Saccharomyces cerevisiae S288C: one gene and its partners. The gene in region 1 interacts genetically with each later gene. Each region holds a gene or a part of one and is shown in the gene's direction. Other genes may lie near its edges. The genes, in order: THP2, RPA34 and SIF2.

Region 1 (3,042 bases):
GGAAGTAGTAAAGAGAATATAAATGCATGTCCAGGAGAGCATAAGCCTGGCCCAAACCAAACCATGCTTTGAAGTCTCGAGGGCATATATCTACGGCCCGACGATAGCATTCTATTGCGGCATGTGAATTGCTTAGTTCAACAAATTCGTGACCCATCAAAGTCCATGCGTTTGTTGTTTTTTTATCCAAAGTTAGTGCTCGACGGAAATACATGATAGATTTTTCATGTTCCTGTCGGGCACTGTAATAGTTCGCTATGATACAACATGTTTCCGGTCTAAATCTATCTATTTGGGAGACGAATTGCGCCAAATAGGCTAATTTTGAATTCTTCTGCATGACGTATAGAATATTGGAGTAGGTTTCCAAATCGTTGAGACGGTACGGATCTTGTTTAACGATGTCATCAAATCGGCTTTCTGCGGTAACATAATCCAAATTGTTGTAACTAATAGTAGCATTGTAAGCCTTTAAAAAAGTGAAATTGGGGAAAACTTGTAACAAAAACTCTAAATCTTCAAAGTAGTCCTCTAACTGGCCATTAAGCTCCTCAAACACTTTTAGCTTGAAAAATTTGATCATTATATTAAATTCTATCGTTCGTTGACTACCAAGATTTTCAGAAAATTTGAATTGGAAATTTTGATATAGATAATTATTTAAAAGCAATGCATCGTCAACCTTTTGTAAACAGTCCATTAACTCCAGCCAGCAGGACCAGTTAAAGGAGTAGCAACTCAGAGATTTCAAGAATGACGACATTGCCTTAGAAATATTCTTCTCTTGCTTTAAGATGACCCCTCGTAAATAATACAACAGTGCTAACCCTAAATCGGCCTCATCATCGTCTATCTTTATTTCATAAGACTCCAGAAATGTGTTAATTTCCTTCAAAATAGATGATATGTTCGATTGTGACTCATGCTCATTGCTGACCATTTTTAAATTGGCGCGTTGGTGCCCACTTTGATTTATATCCTCATTCCCACTACCATCCCCATCTTTGTTAGCTCTGTACATTTCGTCCGTAAACTTCCCTGTAGTTAAGATATTTTCCATACTTTCCTGGCTTTTCTTATCCCACGATAGAAATTTACTGTATAATTTTAAGAACTTAAGGTATGGATTAGTGACATCTTTTAGAAAAAAAACGCATCGATCAAACTCTTTAGCATCAAACAACGTAGAACCAAGGAGGTACAGGTCATACTCAGTCTCTGATAGGCCAAACCCGTTTTGTGGTATTTCAAACATCTGTTTCGGTACACCTTGTTTATTTCTTAGTGGCGATTCATCGGCTAAAGAGTGTGTTTGATCAACATCAATAGCTTCTGCAAGACCTGCTAGCGCCTCTGCTGCCCACTTTGAGGAGCCGTATAGCTTCCATCGTGATAATTCTGTGGCAGCCTTTCGTAGCTGAATACGTATATCATGTATTATTTTATCCTGGCTGTCGTCATTCATGGTTCTAAATGCTTCACAATCTGATTCTGATCAGTATATATCCAGATTTCAGTTTTCCGCTCGCTAATACTCCCTTCTTCCTCTTAATTTGATGTGAGTACCGCAGTACTTGGTCTGCTATTATGAAGTGTTTGTTTTACCCGAAGTGCTTTTTATGTACGCGCATTGAAAAATAATAGAAACTTGGTAAGTAGAATACTTAAGAAGCTGCAGAAGTGCAGTATCTTACAGTAAGAAACAACAGCGACTAGTTTATCAGGTTTACACTGCTCAAGTTATCAAGTTCATAGCATGACAAAGGAAGAAGGTCGTACGTATTTTGAATCTCTCTGCGAGGAGGAACAAAGTTTGCAGGAAAGCCAAACCCACTTATTAAATATTTTAGATATATTATCAGTATTGGCAGACCCTAGATCATCTGATGATCTGCTTACTGAATCCCTCAAGAAGTTGCCTGATTTACACAGGGAGCTGATAAATAGTTCCATCCGCCTGCGATACGATAAATATCAAACAAGAGAAGCACAGCTTTTGGAGGATACAAAAACTGGAAGGGACGTTGCAGCGGGAGTACAGAATCCTAAGAGTATTAGCGAGTACTATTCTACTTTCGAACATTTGAATAGGGATACTTTAAGGTACATAAATTTACTGAAGCGACTTTCTGTTGATTTAGCAAAGCAGGTGGAAGTGTCTGATCCATCAGTGACAGTGTATGAAATGGATAAATGGGTTCCATCTGAGAAACTTCAGGGTATTCTCGAGCAGTACTGTGCGCCTGATACTGATATACGTGGTGTAGACGCTCAAATCAAGAACTATCTAGATCAGATCAAAATGGCACGTGCCAAATTTGGTTTAGAGAATAAGTATTCCTTAAAGGAAAGACTCTCTACTTTGACAAAGGAACTAAACCATTGGCGAAAAGAATGGGACGATATAGAAATGCTTATGTTCGGTGATGATGCACATTCTATGAAAAAAATGATCCAGAAGATAGATTCATTAAAGTCTGAAATAAATGCTCCATCGGAAAGCTATCCTGTAGATAAAGAAGGTGACATAGTTTTAGAATAAGCACATTTTATTTAACCAGCCTGCACAAGTTAGATAGAGTTATACATACTTGTTGAGTGGGAGGGAAGAAAGAGAAAAATTGTATTATTTTTTAAAGAGCTTTTTAATATTTTATTTGTTCTATCTATTATTTTCACTTCCCCGAAATAGTACTGAAGGAAAAAACATGCTGGTTTATTTAGCGTTTAATAGGATGTGTACGTACTGAGAATATCATCAAGAATCAGTCCTCGGCCAGAGCATCTAGATATGTCGATAGCTTGGTCTAGCGTTTTCAAAAGAGAATTACGGCTTGAAAGATTTTTACCAAGAGTATATTCGACGAAAGTTCCTGATAATGCACCAAGAGCGGCTGACAATGAACAATGGCTAGAAACCCTAAGACCTATAACTCACCCAGAACAGAAAAAGTCCGACCATGATGTCAGTTACACAAGACACATTAATGTTCCTCTGGGCGAAGTCACTTCTGTCAACTATCTACAACGGTATAATAAGCA
Region 2 (6,398 bases), on another chromosome or scaffold:
TACCGGTATATCTATCAAGATACGATCAATGCAACGCTTTACTGCACTGCACTACACCCCTTTTCCTCTACTTGTTTTTCTTAGTTCCTATTTCCCTCTCAAAATGCACCTGTTCACCAGAGTATTCTTTCTCATTGCAAGTATTACCCTACTTTATCGTCCCACACAAAGAGGAATATATATAGATTATAAGCGAATTGTAGATTTCGATGGAGATCTGATTTCCGTGCAAAATATCCAGGACGTCTATACACAGTGTTTACAACTCAGCTTATATTCATATCATGCCATTTCAAGATTATTTTCAGAAGAAAAAAGCAGCGTTCATTAACAGAAACAATAAAAGTAACGCAGATGCTTCAGCGCTACGAGATATTAACGATATTAACATAAATTTCGCCGCCAAGAGCAAAAACTACGTGTTCCCGCTAACAAAGCTCCCCGATGAGCTCATGCAAGAAGTATTCTCTCATTTGCCGCAACCAGACCGCTTGCAGCTTTGCCTTGTGAACAAAAGGTTGAATAAGATCGCTACCAAACTGCTTTATAGAAGAATATATTTGAACGACTCAAATGTAGTGAAGAGTGACTTCATGCATCTCGCAATTAATTGGACCCTACTGAACTTGCCGTCTTCGTTGAAAGAAGAGGAGTCCCGCGATATCGCCAACTGCAAATTGAAAAAACTTATAGAAACACTGCAAAATAATATTCACATTACTGAAGTCATCCAGTGGATAAGGATCAACTGGGATTTGGACTCTACCTTGCAAAGGTCCATTCTCAGCATCCTTTGCAATCAGGGCAAGTCCTTGCAAAGACTAGAAAACGTCACTGACCCGGCTTGTAACGATATCATCTCCAATGGTCACTTTTCCAGGAGCAACGTCTCAAGTTTCGACATGGCTCCTCCAAATTCATTGCCTGAGATGGTTGTTCCCGAAAATTACATTCCGAATCTCACCAAATATCTTTCACAGCGTATCTCTTCTCGGCTTTCTCATATGACTTTATTCATCGACCCTTTAAAACTGTTCAATTATCTTTACCCTTTAGATATCAAGTTACAAATCATCGATTTAAAATTGCATTGGAGGAGGGAGTTTTACAATAATGATTATTTTGTTAAAAAGATACGACCCGGCAATCCTCTGACTAAACTATCGGAGGTTTTTGACAAGAGGACATTGAAAATTCTTACCATCATTTCTTGGAATGACACTTTGTTAAAACGCGAGACAGAAATGCTGAAAGATTTTAAAGAATTTGAGAACCTGGAAGATTTGTCTTTGATTTCTATTAAGCAGGATGTTCATATCCTCGTAGATCTTTTTAGTTCGTTAACCAATTTGAAAAGACTAAAAATGGATTTCTTAGAGGAGTATGTACCTGAACCCACAAATCCTCACATATTTCTCTCCATTCTTTTAGCTTGCTCCAAATTGCAATTCATAGATCTGAGATACGACGGTCTTATCCCACAAATCATCAATATTCAAGAAAATAAGTTCCAACTAAATCAGCAATGCAACTGCACAAACTGTCAAATAGTATTCAGTGACATTCTGAAGGGCAAAATATTCATGTTCCCTGAAGACTACTATATTCACGATCTTCAAGACATTGCTGCAAAGGATATTTTTAAAATGATGAAATACCTATCTTTGTTACCATACTCTAAAGCTTGTGATGCTTATCCGAGCGTTAGAACACAACCAATGAATTTGACTAATTTTGTGACCAAGATGAACCGCAACCTTTTGGAATATAGAAATTCTAAATCCCAGTTGGTGCCCAAAATCGTTAATAACCCACATCAACACTCCACCGTGACTTCCACATCAACCGCTCATATGAGCGAGCCCGAAATGATAATAATCGATGACGATGATGATGATGATGAAATTAATGCGGCCATTCCTCCAAGTAGTGATGACACAGCAGCTACAATTTCCACTGACCTGGAACTTCCTCATGAATCATTGACCAAAAGAGATATTATTATGTGTTATCACGCTCTTATCCATCACTTCAAGTCGATTTACGTTACTTTTTTGAAAAGTTTTCCTCATTTGAGATTCTTGATGTTGAATGACATTCCCACAATAGTTATGGAGGAGAATAATGAACGTATTTTTGAACCCGTCTTTTATCATTATGATTATAAGAGTAATCTGTATGGATGGTCAAAGGAATCGAACAAGAATCTGGAGAACGACAGCAACAACAACAATAATAATTCTGATACCATTGCAAGAATAGCCACTGTTATGTAATCAACTCCCCTTCAAATATATATATTTAATAATATATATTCAACGCATTTTTTAAGCTAGCAGGATTCAGATTACTGGTCTACTTCATATTAAGGAAATACAAGATCCATTCGGATGCTAGAAAAAAATCAACCAACTATTCCAATGTTGGTAAGCTGGTTTGATAAAGTAAACACAAGATACTACAGTATACGATCACTCAGACATCCTAGGAAGGTCTCTAAAGAAGAGCGGTCACCGAGAGTACTAACGATGGGTTCGTAAGCGTACTCCTACCGTGGAAACTGCGAATGTTAAGGAACCAGTCTTTCATCACCGTGATCATAAATTATATATATTATCTGTCTCCTCAAATTACCCACATTTGATAATCTCATGAGAAAAAATAAAGGCTCAGATCTGCATGTGTTGTATAACACTGGCAAGAAAAGTTCCCGTTTGCAAACACAAATGATTAAAAAAAAATGTCACAGAAGCAACATCTTTTCAAAATCATTCGCATTAAGAGAACGAGATAAAATCCCTTGTCGTCATGGTCGAATCGGACGAGGAAAGAAGAGACACCATTATCATCAGGGCCAATCAATTCTTCTTTTCTGTTTAAAAAAGTGTCATGAAATTTCTCTTGAGATTATTCAAACTTGAATGTATCAAATGGGAAGGAGTGCAATGCTGAAGTCGAAAGAGGAGGATTACTCTCATTCTTACTACATTACAGTCACTGCTGTTTGTTCTTATGTAGGGGAATTCTTATTAACCGAATGTCGAGATTATTATAACCTTACAGAAGGTTGTCCAGTATTTATACATTTTGTTTCTGCCCATAAAGCTCTAGAAAATGAAAAAAAATTTTCTTTTCAGCCTGAGAAAGTTTTTTCTTAGGGCAGCGTGTGGTTATTGGGTGTTGCGAAACTTTTTTTCTCAAACATGAAATTAAAGAAATGAAAAATTTTATCGATGAGCATTGAATAGCTCAAGTTATAGGGTATTCGGTATCATATAGGTCTGTGATCGAGTGAGCAGTGAGCAGCTAGGATTCAATAAACGGGATTAACAAAAAATTGATATGTCCAAGCTTTCGAAAGATTACGTATCAGATTCAGACTCTGATGATGAAGTGATATCAAACGAGTTCAGCATACCAGATGGTTTCAAGAAATGTAAACATTTAAAGAATTTCCCTCTCAACGGTGATAACAAAAAAAAAGCGAAACAGCAACAGGTTTGGCTGATCAAATTCCCATCAAATGTGGACATCTCCAAGTTAAAATCTCTGCCTGTAGATTTTGAATCCTCTACAACCATGACAATTGATAAACACGATTATAAAATCATGGACGATACAGATATTGAGTCCTCGTTAACACAGGATAACCTCAGTAATATGACTTTATTGGTTCCTTCGGAAAGTAAGGAAAGTCTTAAAATTGCTAGCACTGCCAAGGATAATGCACCATTACAGTTTGACAAGGTATTTTCTGTCAGCGAAACCGCTAAAATCCCAGCTATTGATTACAGTAAGGTAAGAGTTCCACGTAAAGATGTTCCAAAAGTAGAAGGCTTGAAGTTGGAGCATTTTGCTACTGGTTATGATGCCGAAGATTTCCATGTGGCTGAGGAAGTTAAAGAAAATAAGAAAGAACCAAAGAAGCGTTCACATCACGACGATGAAGAGGAGTCTAGTGAAAAGAAGAAAAAGAAGAAGGAGAAGAGGGAGAAGAGGGAGAAGAAGGATAAAAAGGATAAGAAAAAGAAACATAGAGATTGAATGCGTATGTGCGTATAACTGTGTGTAACATAAGATAAAAATGTGCATTTGTGTGTGTGTCAGTGATTTTTTTTCGCATTTACATATATAAAAAGGCATTTCTGCTGGTGGAAACTGATGAATGTTTTGTGTGGGCAATATTACTATTTAGTTTTGCATACTTAAATTTGTGTATACGATTAGAAATTTCAATATTTCGGGTGTAACACAAACGATTATTTTTTTCTTGATTTAGAGTCGCCATATGAATATTATTAACCTGCTTTTTCTGTGTTCTCTCTTATATGAGGTTCAATGGTAAGTGTGTTTTTAACTCGTGTTCTTCTTCATTAATCATCTTTAATACACTTCCAAGGTTGACCTGTAAATCTTCAAAGATTAGTTTATCCTGGCACGTCCGATGGATACTCCGTATAGAAATATCTAAGGATCTAATAAATTTGTATTGGTCCATTATTGGTGTGGACGGTTTCTTCGGTGACTCCAGCATTATTTTGCTTTGTATACTCAATTTTACGATATCAATTAACCATTTTTTGACCAATTTTGGTTCCTCTTCAACGCATTTCGAAATAGCCCTTAAAATACGAACAAGCAGGATTTGATTTTGGGTGAAAGAGAAACCATCATCTTTATTGTGGTTCAGGACCGTTAAATCAGGCAATATATGTGACTTTTCATACAAAGATTGATAAATTAAAATCAAATCGTTATTCCTCCAATTTGCGCCTAAAAGCTTAATGTAATGAATTATATTTTGACGAATATTATCTTCAGATACGTTAGAAGTTAGACATCTCCACAAAAGACGTCGCAGAGGAAACGGTAGATCACTGTAATCGGACAACCAACGAGGCTCGTAGTCTTTTCTTATTTGCACATCGTGCGTTCTATAATACAACAGGATGGATATCACTACTCTTTGGTATTCGTCAAACAAGGCTCTGTGCTCCCATACTTTATCGAATTTGTTGAACTTTTTTGAGAGCAAAATTTCTGTTATTTGACGCACATTAGTTAACTTGCCCACATACTGCAAAAGCAGCAGCCTATCATATAGATCCTCGGACGATGAACCTTGTAGTTCCTTCGAAGAAGAACTTTTGTTATCCGTTGCCTGGGTAACTATTGAGTTCAAATGTGAGAAAAGCACATCGTAATGAACAGCTACTTTTTGTTTCTTGGACTCTACTTCCGGTAGATTTGAATTCAGTATTCTCAGGATGTTCTCTATATGGTGATTTTGAAGATTATTTTCTTTAGTGCGTGAACGATTCAATAAGGAACCTTGTTCATTAACTTCAGAAGATTCAAACAAAGGCCCCAACAACTTCACTGGACCTTTGGTCAAGTATTTTAGAGTTGATTTCAGCTCATCATCTTTCGACTTCAATAGTCGGGTTGCTAACTGAGAAAAAGTCCTCCTCATAATCAATGATTCCTGTAGATAAAATTGACAAAAGGCAGCGCACGCACTATTTCCCTTTAGCCAGCACAATTACTTATGCGTGTTGTTGTTTAGGGTTCGTAAATCTATATTGAAACGCAATTTATATTCTACTGTTTTCTTTTCGCACAAACAGAAAACCGCTGTCACATTATTGTATGACTGTTGATATCGGACCATCATTTTCGACACTTTCATTGAGGGGAAAAATGTTGGTGTCATTACGCTCTCTACTCATGTCTTTATGTAAGTATACGTTTACAAGATTATTTATATGCTATGACACTACGGGTTCTCAACTTGCAGCAAAACAAGAAGCAGTTAGCGGCACATTTCGGTGCAAAAACTTATCAGCAGTTTTTGCTGCCTCTCTTTCACTAATCTAACTTACTATGTACGGCCGATAGCAGTATATTGTGCTTTTTACTGTCTTTTATTACTTTTGCTGTTGCTCTTGCTCTTGACTGTTCCCATCTTTGCTTCGGAAATTTCCCCATGCGCTGCAGGACAGAAACACAAGCATGATTGAAGCAATCGAATTGTGCAGTCGAGTTCAAAATTGGCAGAGAAGAAAAGAGGTGGAAATTGCAACACGAATCACCGCTTTACCACGCAAAGATATCTGGATTCTTGATATCAATCTTTTTCAAATATATTTTATTTATTTATCAAAAGGGCAAGAAAGAAAAAACGATTGATAATAAAAATGGATAATCAGCAGGAAAGTATATCTGAAGATATCACCGGTGATCTGGCCGCTGCTGTGAGAAAGTCATGGTCCGAGTCACAAGATAATCCATTACTGTTAAATTTTAATAATTCTCCCATAGGTACTCCCACTGATAGGTACTCCCCTGAACCAGCAACGATGATGGAAGGAAATGCAATGAATCTTTCATCACTTGCG
Region 3 (4,678 bases), on another chromosome or scaffold:
TCTCTGGACCTTGGCCTCGAATGCATTGATAGAGTTAGGTTCTGCAAAAGATATTGATCCATTGCGCCTGTTACATTTCGGCCAGGAGTGATTGAACCCCCCATACTACGTCTTTTGTTTTTGTTAGGGCTTCTGTTGTTTTCTCTACCTGGGGTTTGTTGCGTAGATTGCAAATATCTAAAGGACTCTCTAATACGTTTAGAGTTCTCCTCTTCTACATGGAATATGTCGCACAAATCATCCTTAGCCTTTCTTATAACGTCCAACAACCTAGAGCATTCGTCTGCGTCTCTACATTCATACAAACTTGAATTCGAATTGCTAAACTTGAAAAGTAGCCTCTTAGTGGAAAATTCCTCTTGCGTGACAGTGACATCCTTTAAAGGATAGCACTGGCTTACTATAAAGTCATTTTGCTTATCTCTTGATTTATCGGCGATAAGTACCAAATCATTCAAAATGAAAATCTGTACCATCTGCAAGGGTTTACCAGTGGTAGTATTTAATTCCATCCAATTGGCACTATTCATTAAAATATGTCTTCCTTTCGTAGAATTGATAAACTTCTGAGCACCTTCAACGTTCTTAAACAGCTGATCCAGTTCCGTATCCCAAAATTTCTCTAATATCAAGACGCTCGATCTGTCCCTCCTCATGAGATTCCCATTTTGTCCTGCTTTCAAAGGCGGAAGTAACGCTGGACTATTAGAATGACTTTCAACATTGTTAAAATTGCCTTGTCTCTCTTGATCTATTTGATCCTGCAATTGTAACCTTTTTTCAGCTATTTTGGTGCACTGATCCAAAACCTCGTTTAAATCATTTATATTTGCTCTAACCCTTTTAAGCTCCAACATAGCAACATTTAGGTCGTTGTTTACCGTCATGATTTCGTTATATGATTTATTGATATTTAACTTTACTTCTTCTTGGACCTGTATCGATAAATCTGTTAAATTTGAGGTAAATTTATCAATAGTAATGGCACTCGCATTGCCTAGTTTATCATGAACAAAATCTTTAGCATTAAAATGCGGGTTTGCCAACATCTTTCTTAGCGACGTGCTATTATTGAAAGGATCATTACTGCCGGAAGGATTGACAGTATTTCGCATTGCTGATCTAGCAGGCACCTTATTATAGGAGCTGTCGTTCAGGGAGAGATCGGCAGTTGAAAGATTTAAACTGTTGGAAGGGCCTTTAGAGCTTACCGATTCGTTCTCAGTGGTGAAACTACTATTATTATGACTACTATCCACATTATCATTGGGAACTATCATGTTTGGCATATCAGGTAGGGGCATTGAGTAATCTAGTGTAGGTGGAGCATAATTTGTATTATGAATTGATAGTCTTCTCTGCATTGAAGTTGCTACCCTACTTCTCTCCCTTGCATTGATTGTTGGTAGCGTATAACTGGTAGCCGGATCCTTGAGATCACTATAAGGGTTCTTTTTTGTTTTTTGTTTAGGCTTAGCAGGCGATGGAGGTGTCTTTTGCTTAGCAGGAGAGCTTGCAGACTTCTTTACATGCTTCCAATTGTTTCTGGCCTTCTTCAAAGAAAACTCAACCATTTTCACAGTACAAATATTTCAACTTTCAGTCTCTTACCTGGTCTAATATGAAGGCTTTTTGTTCATTCGGCTTTGCTCAAGGTCTTACAAATATACTATTAACTGCAGTCTCTAGTCTCTTTTTCCAGTCATCTATTTTCATGGAGCGGAACTTAGCAAACGAGAAATAAACAAAAATGATTAGGAATGTATTCATGTTGAAAAGGTTATGAGATATGCAAGACCATTCGTTTTGATTTGCAATTAGTGAGAACAATTTAAACACCTTGGTGCGAAATTGAAGGTTTTTTTTTCCAAAGAAGTGTACAGCCCACACTAACAACTGCTAACTCAGATAAAAATAACAGAAACAAAAAAAAGGTAGGGAAGGCCCATCACACGGAAAATGAGTATAACAAGTGAAGAACTAAACTACTTGATATGGAGGTATTGTCAAGAGATGGGACACGAGGTGAGTGCATTAGCATTGCAGGATGAAACAAGAGTATTGGAATTTGATGAGAAGTATAAAGAACACATTCCTTTGGGTACACTGGTGAATCTAGTACAAAGGGGAATCTTGTATACAGAAAGTGAGTTAATGGTTGATAGTAAAGGTGATATCAGCGCTTTAAATGAACATCATCTTTCTGAAGATTTCAATTTGGTTCAGGCGCTGCAAATAGATAAAGAAAAATTTCCTGAGATCTCTTCTGAAGGAAGGTTCACTTTGGAAACCAATTCCGAGAGTAATAAAGCAGGTGAAGATGGCGCTAGTACTGTTGAAAGAGAAACCCAAGAGGACGATACTAATTCTATTGACAGTAGTGATGACCTAGACGGATTTGTCAAAATACTGAAGGAGATAGTAAAATTAGATAATATTGTTTCCTCCACTTGGAATCCATTGGATGAATCTATACTCGCATACGGTGAAAAAAATTCTGTTGCAAGACTAGCGAGGATAGTAGAAACCGATCAAGAAGGGAAAAAATACTGGAAACTCACGATAATAGCGGAGTTGAGACATCCTTTTGCTCTGAGTGCAAGTAGTGGTAAAACGACGAATCAAGTCACATGTCTTGCTTGGTCACACGATGGTAATTCAATTGTCACGGGTGTAGAAAATGGTGAGCTAAGACTATGGAATAAGACGGGGGCACTTCTGAATGTTTTAAATTTTCATAGAGCACCTATAGTATCCGTTAAATGGAACAAAGATGGAACACATATCATATCCATGGACGTGGAAAATGTCACTATACTCTGGAATGTTATAAGCGGGACCGTCATGCAGCACTTTGAATTAAAAGAAACCGGTGGCTCATCCATCAACGCAGAGAACCATAGTGGCGATGGTTCACTTGGGGTTGACGTTGAATGGGTAGACGATGACAAATTTGTCATTCCTGGCCCTAAAGGTGCTATATTTGTATACCAAATTACAGAAAAAACGCCCACTGGTAAACTTATTGGACACCATGGACCTATCAGCGTTTTGGAGTTCAATGACACCAATAAACTTCTACTTAGTGCCTCAGACGATGGTACTCTAAGAATATGGCATGGCGGTAACGGCAATTCTCAGAATTGCTTCTACGGACACTCACAAAGCATAGTATCGGCATCATGGGTCGGTGATGATAAGGTAATATCCTGCTCGATGGATGGCTCCGTTCGCCTATGGTCGCTGAAGCAGAATACGCTATTGGCTCTATCAATCGTGGATGGTGTCCCAATTTTTGCTGGAAGAATATCACAAGATGGACAGAAGTACGCAGTTGCTTTCATGGATGGGCAGGTAAACGTCTACGATTTAAAAAAACTGAACAGCAAGTCACGAAGTCTTTATGGTAACCGTGATGGGATTTTGAATCCATTACCAATTCCCCTCTACGCTAGCTACCAAAGCAGCCAAGACAATGATTATATATTTGATCTGTCATGGAACTGTGCGGGAAACAAGATTTCTGTAGCATACTCGCTTCAAGAAGGTTCAGTTGTAGCCATATAATAACTAGGTACAGTACATAAACAGATGAATTTTATCATTCTTATTGTTATTTCTTTGTTTACAAAAGGTGAAAAGTGAAAAATTTCGCAATGGAAAACGTCGCGGGCCGCCTTTGAGTGACGTTGTGCAGGAATCTCGAAGAGTCATCACTTTGAAGATAACGGCCGCTCGCGATGAGAGAAGACAATGAGCATTGCTTTTTTATAATTTTTTATACCTTGTGTTAAAATAAGTTTCTTTAATTAGTTTTCACCTCTTGGATGATACAACTGTAATTGATAAATAGGGGTAGCCATAAAGAACAGAAAAAAGCGGCGCAATAATTTCGTGTATTACAATTACAGTTAGTCATGAGTGAAGAATTTCCTACGCCGCAGCTTTTGGATGAATTGGAAGATCAACAGAAAGTTACCACGCCGAATGAGAAGAGAGAGTTAAGTTCTAATCGTGTGTTGAAGGATATTTTTGCGGGTACCATCGGTGGTATTGCACAAGTTCTTGTAGGGCAACCGTTTGATACAACAAAAGTTAGGCTTCAAACAGCCACCACAAGAACAACAACGTTGGAGGTATTGCGTAACTTGGTAAAGAATGAGGGTGTGTTTGCATTCTACAAAGGTGCGTTAACACCGTTATTGGGTGTTGGTATATGTGTCTCAGTACAATTTGGTGTGAATGAGGCGATGAAAAGATTTTTCCAAAATTACAACGCTTCTAAGAACCCGAATATGAGCTCACAGGACGTAGATCTTTCACGTTCAAATACTCTGCCACTATCCCAGTACTACGTTTGTGGGTTGACAGGTGGTGTAGTCAATTCATTCTTGGCATCGCCCATTGAACAAATAAGAATTCGTTTGCAGACGCAAACATCTAATGGTGGAGACAGAGAATTCAAAGGTCCTTGGGACTGTATTAAAAAATTGAAAGCTCAAGGTGGATTGATGAGGGGTTTATTTCCCACAATGATAAGAGCCGGACATGGGCTTGGTACATATTTTCTTGTCTACGAAGCATTGGTTGCCAGAGAAATTGGTACGGGACTAACAAGAAACGAAATTCCTCCTTGGAAATTATGCTTATTTGGTGCATTTTCCGGGACAATGTTGTG

Evidence for each region.
Region 2: mutations in THP2 (region 1) and RPA34 together harm fitness more than expected from each alone (negative genetic interaction), as found in Saccharomyces cerevisiae (6 studies listed by BioGRID).
Region 3: mutations in THP2 (region 1) and SIF2 together harm fitness more than expected from each alone (negative genetic interaction), as found in Saccharomyces cerevisiae (6 studies listed by BioGRID).

The regions. Positions count from the first base shown.
Region 1 is NC_001140.6:437,586-440,627, forward strand, and holds THP2 (Thp2p), read left to right. Parts: upstream 1-1,756; coding exon 1,757-2,542; downstream 2,543-3,042. Other genes in the region: anaphase promoting complex subunit CDC23, read right to left, coding at 1-1,465; putative GTPase MTG2, read left to right, coding at 2,792-3,042. UniProt on the Saccharomyces cerevisiae protein: Component the THO subcomplex of the TREX complex, which operates in coupling transcription elongation to mRNA export. The THO complex is recruited to transcribed genes and moves along the gene with the elongating polymerase during transcription.
Region 2 is NC_001142.9:137,095-143,492, forward strand, and holds RPA34 (DNA-directed RNA polymerase I subunit RPA34), read left to right. Parts: upstream 1-3,342; coding exon 3,343-4,044; downstream 4,045-6,398. Other genes in the region: SCF ubiquitin ligase complex subunit DAS1, read left to right, coding at 285-2,276; SMT1 (Smt1p), read right to left, coding at 4,325-5,473; IDS2 (Ids2p), read left to right, coding at 6,198-6,398. UniProt on the Saccharomyces cerevisiae protein: DNA-dependent RNA polymerases catalyze the transcription of DNA into RNA using the four ribonucleoside triphosphates as substrates. Component of RNA polymerase I (Pol I) which synthesizes ribosomal RNA precursors.
Region 3 is NC_001134.8:445,750-450,427, forward strand, and holds SIF2 (Sif2p), read left to right. Parts: upstream 1-1,959; coding exon 1,960-3,567; downstream 3,568-4,678. Other genes in the region: exocyst subunit EXO84, read right to left, coding at 1-1,574; YMC2 (organic acid transporter), read left to right, coding at 3,918-4,678. UniProt on the Saccharomyces cerevisiae protein: Antagonizes telomeric silencing in yeast. May recruit SIR4 to non-telomeric sites or repression.